3 separate regions of the Mus musculus genome follow, and regions 1 and 2 are each reported to be linked to region 3. Evidence: microRNA targets listed by miRTarBase, many of them from high-throughput screens and not tested one by one. Region 3 holds a microRNA gene; each other region holds the end of a gene's coding sequence.
What was found. Region 3 holds the annotated microRNA mmu-miR-410-3p (AAUAUAACACAGAUGGCCUGU, at 2,242-2,262, shown strand). A microRNA usually pairs through its seed, bases 2 to 8, with sites in the 3' UTR of a target mRNA and lowers its output. Matches are read on the target gene's strand: a 7mer-m8 pairs with bases 2 to 8, a 7mer-A1 pairs with bases 2 to 7 and ends in A, and an 8mer does both.

Region 1 (4,000 bases), not on the chromosome of region 3:
AGAACATCCTGACTGCCATATTGCTACTGCTGCGGGAGCTGGATACGGAGGGGCTGGAGACTGTCCAGCAGACCGTGGGCAGCCGGCTACAGGCGCTGCACAGGCCGGAGCCCCAGGAAGACATGGAGTGATTTCAGACGCCCCAGTATCTGGACCCTTTTATATCCTGAGGAAACACAGCCCTACCTGGAAAGCCTTCAAAGCAGGCCCAGTGGCTGCCAGCAAAGCAGACCCCTCTCCTGTGCTGAGGGCTGGCAGAAATGCTGCCCACCAGCATGGTCCCTGGGACTTACCTGCTGAGGCCCAAAGCTCTGGGCACTGTCTGACCCTTCCTCAAGGGAGGCCTGAAGGAGCCATACCCTCCAATAAAGCACTTTCTGTTTGAGCTGGAAGGTCTGGGACAGGAAGCATCTCGGGGCCTTGACGTTGAGGTTCATGTTGTTTCTCAGCCGCTAGGGGGAGCCCTAGTATCACTGTATCAAGCCTACCCTTGGAGATGCCTAGAATATCTTTACGGGGCACTGTGTCCCAGCTGTCCTTAGACATAGCCTGGGAGAATGGAATTTTTTGTTTTTTCAGGACAAGGCTGGTCAGGACACTGTCCTTTTTCTTTCTTCTTCAGGAGAGGGATGTCACCTGAGTGACTGTTGCTCGTCATTCTGAGGCGCCAGATGCCATTGGTAAAGTTGTCTTCGTTAGAGCCATTAATTGGGGGAGGCCCTGTAGCTTACCTAGGCAGGGCCACCTTGGTGCCTTGGGGTGACCTTACACCTGCCATAAGAGAACGAGCCAGGAAAGGCCCCAAGATTAGCATATGTAAAGCAACCTAAGCAAAAAAAGTCTAGAAGGGCCCTTAGAGGGACAGGTAGAACATGCCAAAGAAGCCTGCTGGCTCTGTAGATGACCTGTAAGGGTCTTAATGCTGAAGGTTCAGGGCAGCTGGGCCCTTGGCTTTGCTCCACCGCTGGCCCACTTCGAAACCTGGGAGTGCTTTCTCTCTTAATAAACTGTTTTTACCAGTGTCTGTGTCCCAGGCCCACTTCCTCGTTCCAGGATGTAAGATTCTGGAAATGCCCAGCAGGTTCCCTCAGGACCACACCCCATGCCTGTAACGTCCTAGCTTTCCATCCTCCTGTGGCACACTCACATATACCCCAGGGATGGGCAGACTACCAGCTGCACCGAGCCCCCAATCCCTGATCCCCACTCCCAGCCTCTGCTAAAGCACAGCTCATATCCCTACCTGGAGCCGAGCGTGGGACATTCAGCCACATCTGGAATCTTCCAGATCCAGCCCCTTGAGCAGAACAGGAATTGGCCTTTCAAGGGTTTGGTGCCCTCCCATCCAACTCACAGCGGGGAGAGCTAAGGCTGGAGGTGTAACCCCCTGGAAGGGTGGATGTGGTGCAAGAGAAGAGAGGAAAGAGATGGCTACTCTGTACCTGAAGCCATTGCTATCACCAGGGCCCAAAGCCACCTTGCAGCCAAGCAGGTAGACCCTGAATCTAGCAGGGGTTCCATACTGAGAGTTGAGTCCACGCTGATGACAATGACCCGACTCCACCTGGCCATGAACAAAATGAGCCACACAGGCCCACCCTTCATGCCTCCCCATTGCAGAACCCCCTGTGTAGCAGACGCCCAGACTGAGCAAGCGGCTGGGTAGGTGCTGCTCTAATCTTCAGATGTCCAACTATAGCCTGCCATGTCCCCAGGCCCTGCGCTGCTTTGGGGGTGGAGGGAGAACACACTAACAGGTATGGACATTGATGGTGACTCTGGAACAAGCACAGGTGTCTCCCAGCAGTCCTGAGAGACCTGAGCCTGTCAATTAACCTGGAGAATTATTAAGAGGCCTTACGGTAGCCTACGAGGCTATTCCAGGAAGGCTTAGTAAAGGGGGAAGGCCCTCTCCAGGGACTGCCTCCGCTAGCAGGCAGCCCAGATATTGGGTGCTCCAAGTAAAAGGCAGTGCTGCCTGCCAGCCCTTCTTGCTGCTGTTACCACCCTCTGCTGACATCAGACACAAACTCTGACTTTCCAGTGTGGCGTGAAGATCCTCCAGGCCCTCAGCACTAGAATGGAGCTGCTGTGAATTTAGCAGCTCCAGGGCTCTCAGCCTCCCCAGCCAGCAGATGGCTGTTATTGGTGAAGTCTGGATAAAGATGGCCCTCACAGGCCCATAGGGAGTGACACTATTGGGAAGTGTGGCCTTGTTGGAGGAAGCTTGCTACTGTGGGGTGGGCTTTGAGGTTTCAGGAGCCAGGCCTAGTGGCTCACTGTCTTTTCCTGCGCCTGCAGATCCAGATGGAGAACCGTCAGCTACCTCTCCAGCACCACATCTGCCTGCATGCCGCCATGCTTCCCACCATGATGGTAATGGGCTAAACCTCTGAAACTGTAAGTCAGCCCCAATGAAATGTTCTCCTTTATAAGAGCTGCTGTGGCCATGGCGTCTATTCACAGCAATAAAACCCTAAGACAATTAGGCTACCAAGCCCATTTGTGTAAGCCAGTCTGGCGAACCCACTTTTACAGTATATATACATTCTATTGGTTCTGTTTCTCTAGAGCCCTAATATACAGGCCTTGTTGCCATGTGCTCAAGACCAAACCCTCCAGGGTGCTGTGATATGACACTTACACTCCAGGACTCTGCTCCCAGCAGCTTTGGGGGCTCCAGCCAGATGAAGCAGCTGGGTACATGGCCTGCAATACCCCCACAGAAGCCTTACAGTGACCCATGGGGGGAGACGTCTACCCAAGGAAACCACCGCCCCAATGCGGCCTGCAGGTCCACAGAGCCAAAGTCACAACCCTTGACCTCCATACACGGAGAAACCAGAAACAGCCTCCACCTATTGTAAATATTGTAAAAATCCAGGCACTGTAGAGGATGGACCCAGCAGCAGCTCACGTAAGAAACCCTGATAAGGGGCTTAGAGAGGGATCTGAGGTGGGGCTGGCCAGGGCTCAGCCCTTCATAAACTTCTCTGAGGAGCCAACGTCCCGACCTCAAGAACCTCCTGAAGGGCAGCAATCAGCCAAGAACACTATACTGACAATGACAGTCTCCTCTCCAGACCGGGGCACATTGCCCACAGGCCGATACCCCAGCCATTCCAGGGCAGGTATGGGGCTCACACGAGCCTCAGTAGCTCTCTAAGGGCTCAGGTCTCCCTAGTCTCTTCCCGGGAGGGTTCCCTAAATTCCAGTCTTGTAGAATAGCTGTGGGCAGGACTGGAGAGATGGCTCAGCGGTTAAGATCACCAACTGCCCTTCCAGAGGTCCTGAGTTCAAATCCCAGCAACCACATGGTGGCTCACAACGGTCTGCAATGGGATCTGATGACCTCTAATGGTGTGTCTGAAGACAGCTACAGTGTACTTATATAAATTAAACAAACTATAGCCTTGGGTAAGGTTTGCACCTGAGTCCTGACAACCCTCTCCCTGGACTCCTCTGGTCATGTTGTCCCAGTGACCATGCTCTAGACAGGTGACTTTATTTCTAAAAAAGTGAGGCTCTTTTCAGCCGTGTGGTGAGGCAGCCAGCTGGCCAGTGAGGGAGAGGCAATGTGGGTCTGACTGGAAGGTAGGGGCCCCACAGGCTCTCTGTCCTGGGGGTGGGGGGAGGGCTAAGGGAAGAGCCCCAGAGCAGCACAGTAGACCCCCACATCCCTCAGCCAGCCACGGGCTCCGAGTTCCCCTTGAGTTCCCCTCGGTGCTGGGATCTGTGGCTAGCACTGGGAGGGTGAGAGTCCGGGAACGCAGGAACAGTAGTGACAGTAAGCTCAGAAACCCTTGTCTATGCTCAAGGTGCGGCGTGTGACGTGCTCCAGCTCCCCAGACACATAGTCTGCCATGCTGATGCGGTAGTGTGCCAGCATCTTCAGCATCAGCCGCAGATTCAGCCACCACTGCTCCCGGGGCATGCGGTGCCTGCGCAGGTCAAGGTTGGATAGTTAGTTACAGAACTGAATCCCGAGATCCCTTAAACC
Region 2 (4,000 bases), not on the chromosome of region 3:
CCTCCAGATCACCATACAGCCACCCACACACTGACTACAAAACCAGTGAGCATCATCTACCCTCTCACACGATCTACAGCTACACGGCAGCAGCTTCGGGGAGCAGTTCCAGCCACGCCTTCCACAACAAGGAGAATGACAACATAGCCAATGGGCTCTCAAGAGTGCTTCCAGGGTTTAATCATGATAGAACTGCTTCTGCCCAAGAACTATTATACAGTCTGACTGGCAGCAGTCAGGAGAAGCAGCCTGAGGTGTCAGGCCAGGATGCAGCTGCTGTGCAGGAAATTGAGTATTGGTCAGATAGTGAGCACAACTTTCAGGATCCTTGCATTGGAGGGGTGGCTATAGCTCCAACTCATGGGTCAATTCTTATTGAGTGTGCAAAGTGTGAGGTTCATGCCACAACCAAAGTAAACGATCCCGACCGGAATCACCCCACCAGGATCTCACTTGTACTGTATAGGCATAAGAATTTGTTTCTACCAAAACATTGTTTGGCTCTCTGGGAAGCCAAAATGGCTGAAAAGGCCCGGAAAGAGGAAGAGTGCGGAAAGAATGGATCAGACCACGTGTCTCAGAAAAATCATGGCAAACAGGAAAAGCGTGAGCCCACAGGGCCACAGGAACCCAGTTACCTGCGTTTCATCCAGTCTCTTGCTGAGAACACAGGGTCTGTGACTACGGATTCTACCGTGACTACATCACCATATGCTTTCACTCAGGTCACAGGGCCTTACAACACATTTGTATGACGCTGGCCATTAGGCCAGACCACCAAGGACGACCTGTGAGCAGTATGTCTTTCATGGCATGGGCCGTAGGGACAGGTCACAGCATCTGTGACAAATGCAGTGTGTGTTTGTGTGTATGTTTATTGGGGGGGGGCTGTCAGCTCACCAGCAAAATAGTTTATTTTATCATTATATTTAATCTCTCCCGTGGTCCATGGTGGCATTCAGGAAGAGCATCCTATGCAAGGGCACAGTGGGAAGGAAGCGCTGGACATTTGTCTTGAAAACCACTGGTTCTCTTATTGGCTGAGGTCATGCGTGTGCCATGCCCCTCAGCACTCTACACGTAACTGCTTCTAGTACTCAGCGTGTGTAACCGTGGGACACAGCGCTGTAGTAGAGCAGTTGCAGGATCATCTGGTGCTGACGTATGATGTACTGAAGAAATACTGGAACTAAGACTTTTTAACATGCAGGTTTTTTACTGTAATCTTAATAACTTATTTATCAAAGTAGCTACAGAAAGCTTAAGTGAATAATGGCAAAACACTGAATCTGTTTGGGTGTTAACATTAAATGGTGCTACAAATGGTGTTTTTAATAGCTGAAAAATCAATGCCTTCTATCATCTAGCCAGTGTGGTCGAGGGCCCTGGAGGCACTGGGGTACCTCTGATTTTACATTTCTATCTTAATTATTCAGCTTAGTTTTTAAAATGTGGACATTTCAAAGGCCTCTGGATTGTAGTTATCCACCGATGTCCTTGTAGGACTATAATGTATAGATATGCACACTTACACATGTGTACTGAAATATTTTAAGTTGTGTCTTAGAAAAGCACTTTGCCTACCTAAGCTTTGGCAACTTGGGCAATGCTAAGGTACTAAAACATAAAAACAAAACAAAAAAAAGTTTACTTTCATTTAGGATTAAAAGTGGTTTTGTTTTGTTTCCTTTTAAGGAAACATTTGCTTTGCTCTTAGCCACTATCGGCTGATGAGCAGTATCAGGCCTGTTACAATCCAAACCGAAGCTGAATGGATATGCTAGTCCACAGAAAACAAATAACAGTTTTTGGTGCTCACCTTACTTGCTATCCTGTAAAACGGTGGTAGGGCAAGCTCATCCCTCCTGCGTATACAGCTTAAGAACGTCTGTTAATTGCAGGTGATAATTAGCCTTGGTGCTGCAGACAGAGCAAAGCTTGCCCACTTAAGTCCATGTTGTCCCACACACAGACCTGTATGTTCTTCAGAACAGCAGGCTGCCTTTGTGTTCATTACATGCTTTGTGGTGTCTTTTCTTAGCTAAGTGTTATATATACCAGGAAGGTTGAGTGGACTGAAACCCGCAGAAGTTGAGAAGACATGGTTAAGTCCATAGGACTCTACTGGTTACAGAGCAACCAACAAAAACCGAAAGAGAATAGGCAGCTGGTTTATGGTGATTTTAAACATTAATTTGTATTAAAAGGTAAAAAAGAGTTGTATAGTAAATTAAATTGTAAAACAACCTTTTTTAATGCAATGCTTTAGTATTTTAGTACTGTAAAAAATTAAATATATACATATGTGTATATATATATTATATATATATATATAATATATGAGATTGAAGAAAAATTCACATCACGATGGTGCTACCCAGATTGCTCCACATAGATCTTAATGTGAGCTAAGAATCCATTCAAAGTTGGAGTGGTGTTCCTACTTGTCGTCATACCTCAACACTAGCTAGGCAATGGGATACTGAGCTAACAGTGGAGGCTTAGAGCATTGTAGACCACCATTTTTCTTTTTTTTTTTTTTTTTAAATCTTTGTATTAAGACATACCATTTTTAAATACTTGATTTCTTAGCAAGTATAACTTGAATCTCAAACTTTTTGTTCTAAAAATTCAGGGATATTTCAGCTCATTCTCCTTATGCTAACATGTCATCTGTTTATGCAAAGTTGTCGGTTAATATATTCGCTTTCAGAGGATTGCAATCCCTCGTAGTTTGCTTGTATATGTACTGATAACTGAAAACTAATTTTATAAATTTTGTCACCTTTCAATTGTAAATTTTGGAGAGTTGGCATTCAGCAGAGTAAAAAGTGTAAAATAGGAAGCCCTGAGCTGGCAGAGGGAGATGGGGGGTACAAGACATCGCCGGTAATGGCTTCTGATCTAGTGACGAGGACAGCTTTGGACTGCAGCTGGACAGTCCTAGAAGCTGGTGGTGTGCTGTGCAATAGGACTGTTGTTACATTGTGGCCTAAATACAGTGTTGCTTACTAGCTTTGCAAATAGCTTTGCGTCAGTGGAGACCTTTGTAATTTACCATCAGTCACATTTGTCACTAAAAACTTTCAGAATGTCTGCCTTGCACACACACACACACACACACACACACACAAAAACAAAAACCACAAGGTTTCCAAACCATGATGTTGAGTCCACATCAGGTTCCTGCAAGGTGTGCTTGGCAATTTTTTTTTTTTTTTTTTGAGCCAGCCATCCCTAAGGAATATTTGCTTTACATGTCACCCACTGTCATTTGTCAAACTGCTGGCCAACAGGAGTAGTAAGTGTGGTTTGAGAGGATGGGTGGTGTAGGGAGGAAGGCAGTGACATCCCACCTCTGTCCATTAGATCAAGTGGGAGGCAGATCTGTGATTTGCTTCTATAGGAACAGCTTGACTACATAGCCATACTCGATACAAGTGCTTCTGCTTGGTGTCAACATTACTTGAATGAATTTTTCATCTTGATTGACGCACAGTGATGTATAGTTCACTTTACAAGGTAGTTTGGTTAACTTGTTAGGGTTTTTTTTTTTTTTTTGGTTTTGTTTTTTGTTTTTTTGCAGTTTGACACTAAGATAATGAACTTCTGTGTGCATTTTTCTATGCTTTATTTTTTAATGTAGCTTACTTCCTGAGATTTTGGCTTTGTTTATACAATCTGAGGGTGGTTATAAATACTGTAAGTATTGTAATGTTATGAATGCAGTTTATTTTAAAGCTGTTTATTATATCATTCCTGATAACGCCATGTGAGTGTTTTTAATAAAATTTATATTTATTTAATGCACTCAAGTATTCTGTTGCAGAGGTTTTTGTTCCATAATTGAGGTAAAATGGAATGGAGCGATTTTGTTGTTGTTTTACAAGATACTTTTTGCATAGTTCTTAAACATGGTAACCTAAATCTAAAGTTCTCAGTCAGATCTACTCACCATGCCATCTCCTCACTTTCAGCCTACTTCTTTTGTACATAACCA
Region 3 (4,146 bases):
AAGAAATGCATGTTTTTTTATGAAAATCAATGTGGGTGTGGTGTTTGAGATGGGGAAATCTATGGATATAGACTAGAGCTAGTGGGGTGATAAGAAGGACTGGTCACCATGTGGGTTTTTTTTTTTAATGTGGCTAAACTTTATTTTCCCATCCCAAACCTTTACAGAGAGCTTCATGGAGTATTCAGAAGCTGGCGGGTGTCACCTGGAGGATGTGACTGGGTACCAGTGCCAGAGCACGTGCCCACTGAGCAGTCTTCTTCACTTTCCTCGATCCTCATGAAACATTCCGGGTAAGACACTGGTTCTGGGGAGTCTGCTCTTGCCGAGCAGTTGGTACCTGGAACATTCTAGGGCCTGCCCTTCCTTGGGTTTCCATGTTGCCAGCTCCCAGGGCTAGGCTTAAAGACGTACCCATTGTTGGTGCTGAAGGGCTAGGCCCGTACGGGAGGTCATTTTAGAGTGGATGTATCCAGGGTCTAATATACTATCTGGGGTGTGATGAGCACCAGGTTTCATGGTGGCTCTCTTTCCAAAAGGATCTTTACCTCAAAGGACTCCAGAGGCTACATCATTGTCTTGGAACTGGTCAGTGGCTGGAGCTCTCTCCAGGACAAGTGCTTGGAGGAAGAACCTGGACAAGCTTCCCTCCCCATACTGTTGACTGGATCTTGTAGCTACCGTTAGCCACCATCATCGCCATTGTGTGCCTCTTAGGAGCATTTCCAGGAGGTGATGCCAGCTGGGGAAAGAGCCTCTGTCCCACAGGTCAGTTTCCAGAACACCTACATGAAGCTGCCCGTGGCGTCTTTTCCCCGTATGACACACTGCATGTGACCAGTCTCTTGCTGCCCTGCAGCAAGGCTAGAAGCCTGTGTGAACTCTTGCCAAAATCAGAGAAGGGATTCTGATGTTGGTCACACTCCAAGAGTTTTAAAATGAGTGGCGAACACAGAATCCATACTCTGCTTATGGCCTAAGTCAATGGATCCTGACCCTTACTGGAGAGCCCTCCCTGGCGTGCTCGTGCGGGGCAGCCATACACACTGGCACAAGGGGACCCTGCGGGATCTCCTTCCGCTGTTCTTTCTCTCCTCCCTCCATGTTTATCTTTGAAGCATTACTTGCTTGGTTTATAGGACTGGATGGTCAAGCAGTTCTTGCTATGACATCACCGTGGGGGGAGGGGGCAGGTGACAGGGCGGGGATGCCAGGGTCGTGGGGCTGCAGTGGTTGGGTGGGCCCAAGGAGGAGCATCTCTGGATGATGCAGTCATTGCCTCCTCGCTTCTGGAAGGCATCGTCTCTGGGAGGGTGGTGTGGTATATGCGCAGGGTCTCAGCATCTCCCTATCTCCAGCTTACAAAGGAGAGATAGAGTAAGCAGAGTTCTGCACCCACTTCTGCCCCGAGTCAGCTCCTCGCTACCTGGGTCTCAAGGTTGTCTGGGAAGGCTTTAGATATTCTTGGAAGGTGAAAGGGTGGTAGATTGCACTGGGGAGGTGATGGAATAATTGCTTTCACGTGGTGGAGGGTGGCTCCTCACTGAATGGGGAGTTATAATCTCTGAGGGGCTCCAGGATGGTTCTTCTGGAAACTCAGCCATCGGCCTCGTTCTGAGCATCCGAGCCTCTCCGTGGTACTCGGAGAGAGGTTACCCGAGCAACTTTGCATCTGGAGGACGAATGTTGCTCGGTGAACCCCTTTTCGGTATCAAATCCCTCCAGGGAGGCCACCTCAGGGAAGACCATGGACTCATCTCGCTCTGGGGTATGGGACGGATGGTCGACCAGCTGGAAAGTAATTGTTTCTAATGTACTTCACCTGGTCCACTAGCCGTCGGTGCCCGCTGCAGCCTGCGCCCAGGATGTCACAGCCTCAGCTCAACACCTCTGCTGGTACTTGAAGGGAGATCGACCGTGTTATATTCGCTTGGCTGACTTCGAATAATACATGGTTGATCTTTTCTCAGTATCAACGCTCAGCTTGGAGAAGCTCTTGGAGTTGCAGCCCCTGTGGGGGTGGGGACAGCATGGTGCTTCTAGGTTGCTGCCTCCGCGGGGAACTGGGCTGGGTGGAACAGGCTGTGTGCTGCCTGTGTCAACCCTACTCACCATTTATATGCAATCCCCCCCTTCCCCCCAGGACAGCTTCAGGTGGTGATTCCAGCTCCAGGGTTGCTGCGGTCAACACTGGGTACTTGAGGAGAGGTTGTCTGTGATGAGTTCGCTTTATTAATGACGAATATAACACAGATGGCCTGTTTTCAATACCACCTGCCACTCCGGTCACTCGGCAGTACATACCAGGTGTCACACCACTGCCCGGTAGGTAAATGCATGGACTCTGTATGACGCTTGTCACCCCCTCTTCACTGAACCTCAGCTCTGAGGAGCCTCCTGGGATCGCACCAACCTTGTAGGCTGGGCCACGAAGCATTGGCCAGATGTGCAATGGATGGCTGTCCACTTTCCATGCCTCTTTCCCGCCACAACAATGGGTGTTTGTCCCTGTCTAAGGCTTCCACCGAGGGCTGCATGCTCAAATGCCCTGTACCCTGGGTGCTTCTCAATACCATGAGGGCTTGGAGGGGCTAGCATGATACTTAGGGAAGAGCCAGGCCAGTTGGTTACACGTGCAGTTCCTAGTATCTGAGGTGAGATTGCCCGTGACGGGTTTCCATTCTTAATGCTGGTACAGTGCATGGTCACCTCTCTTTATCATTGGCTCTTACTGTGTGAGCATGGGTGTCAGGGGAGGGACACACTTTGCTGACCCACTGGACACCACTGATGGTCAGGCATGTAGCTGACTCATCCTGACCCAGAGCCTCACATCTCCTGAGGTGGGGGTTGGGAAGTCCAGAAGGGCATCTTAGAGGAAGAAGCATCCTAAGTAGAGTCCGTGCTGGTGGTACCTGAGCTAGCTTGTCTCTGAGACGTTTGTTTTCTATCTGATGACTATCCCACAGCCTACTTCTCTGCACCATGTCCTACCCTAGACCATTTCTACTTTGAGGCATTGATGCCAAGAACTGAAGCCTTTGTGTTGGTTGACTCTCTAGTCTGTATGTGAGACCATCCCTTGGCCTGTCTTGTCCTCAGTGCCACCCTGTTGGAAATAGCACAGAATGTCCTCCTGAGTCTACAAGGCAGTGATACCCAAGCTCTGTCCCTGCTTCACGAGCACAGGGGGCCCAGTAGGGATTAGCCTGCACTTCTTTTTTTTTTTTTTTTTTTTTATTTTTTTTTTTTTTTTCATTTTTTTTTTATTAGGTATTTAGCTCATTTACATTTCCAATGCTATACCAAAAGTCCCCCTTACCCACCCACCCCCACTCCCCTACCCACCCACTCCCCCCCTTTGGCCCTGGCGTTCCCCTGTACCGGGGCACACAAAGTCTGCGTGTCCAATGTAGCCTGCACTTCTTCATGTTTCCTCCAACTTAACACTCTGGCTCTGTCAGACTCCTGTGAGCTTACTGTAGAGGCTTGACCTAGAGTCTCAAGGACCCCAGAAAGTACCTGATCACACCCAGTAGGAGCCTTTGAAAGACAGGCTATAGATTTTTGGTATTTAGTAAGGCTCCCCAGGGTGGCAAAGAGCTCTTTCTGATTGGGCTTGCTCCCCATTGGAGCAAGTAGCACCCTCACCCTGGCAACTCCACCCTGCATGCTTTTTCTCCTCTTCTGGGCCTCCTCAGCAGCAAAATGCTCTTCCAACAGAGATAGTGGCTGCGCACCCTGGCTTGTACCTAGCACATGGTCTCCTTTAGATTTCTTCTCTTGTTCAGGATGGTCTGCCCAGGCGCCCTCTCTCTGGGAGTTGGTCCTGGTTACTGTCTCCCACAGTCCATCCCCCTTCCTTGGTCCTCAAGCTTGTAGGCCCCCTCCACAGGAGTTCAAGACTCGGAGGGGATCGTGTTCCCTGCTCTGCAGTGACAGTGCAGGCAGCCTGACACTCTTATCCAGCTCCTTCCTTTGTGATATGACATCAGACTGCTTGTCAGCTATGGCTCCCCAGGTGCCTGCTTTCCCAAACTGCCTAGTACCTTGGTTCCCAGCCTCTCCCTGACCCCAACCAAAACAAAACAAAACAAAACAAAACAAAAAAAAAAAAAAAAGAAGAAGAGAAAAGAAAAGAAAAGA

Region 1: the mRNA of Pfkl is a reported target of mmu-miR-410-3p. Seed matches in the 3' UTR shown: 7mer-A1 at 3,389-3,395.
Region 2: miRTarBase lists Tet2 as a target of mmu-miR-410-3p. Seed matches in the 3' UTR shown: 8mer at 2,048-2,055 and 7mer-A1 at 2,319-2,325.

The regions. Positions count from the first base shown.
Region 1 is chr10:77,984,417-77,988,416 of GRCm38, forward strand. Pfkl (phosphofructokinase, liver, B-type) reads right to left here. Exons shown (of 22, transcript NM_008826.5): 22 at 2,531-3,941. The coding sequence ends at 3,794. Cfap410 (cilia and flagella associated protein 410) reads left to right here. Exons shown (of 7, transcript NM_026431.2): 7 at 3-1,022. The coding sequence ends at 131. Gm51807 (a long non-coding RNA gene) reads right to left here and starts at 8. Exons shown (of 3, transcript XR_003949012.1): 1 at 1-8.
Region 2 is chr3:133,463,492-133,467,491 of GRCm38, reverse strand. It overlaps Tet2 (tet methylcytosine dioxygenase 2), which reads left to right. Exons shown (of 11, transcript NM_001040400.2): 11 at 1-3,815. The coding sequence ends at 755. Among named protein-coding and RNA genes, the nearest start is that of Tet2, 79 kb to the left of the region's middle.
Region 3 is chr12:109,741,523-109,745,668 of GRCm38, forward strand. Mir410 (microRNA 410) reads left to right here and starts at 2,193; the gene lies at 2,193-2,273. Mirg (miRNA containing gene) reads left to right here. Exons shown (of 8, transcript NR_028265.1): 3 at 168-293; 4 at 540-768; 5 at 1,835-1,896; 6 at 2,144-2,325. Mir541 (microRNA 541) reads left to right here and starts at 887; the gene lies at 887-976. It overlaps Mir409 (microRNA 409), which reads left to right and starts at 1,636; the gene lies at 1,636-1,714. It also overlaps Mir412 and Mir369.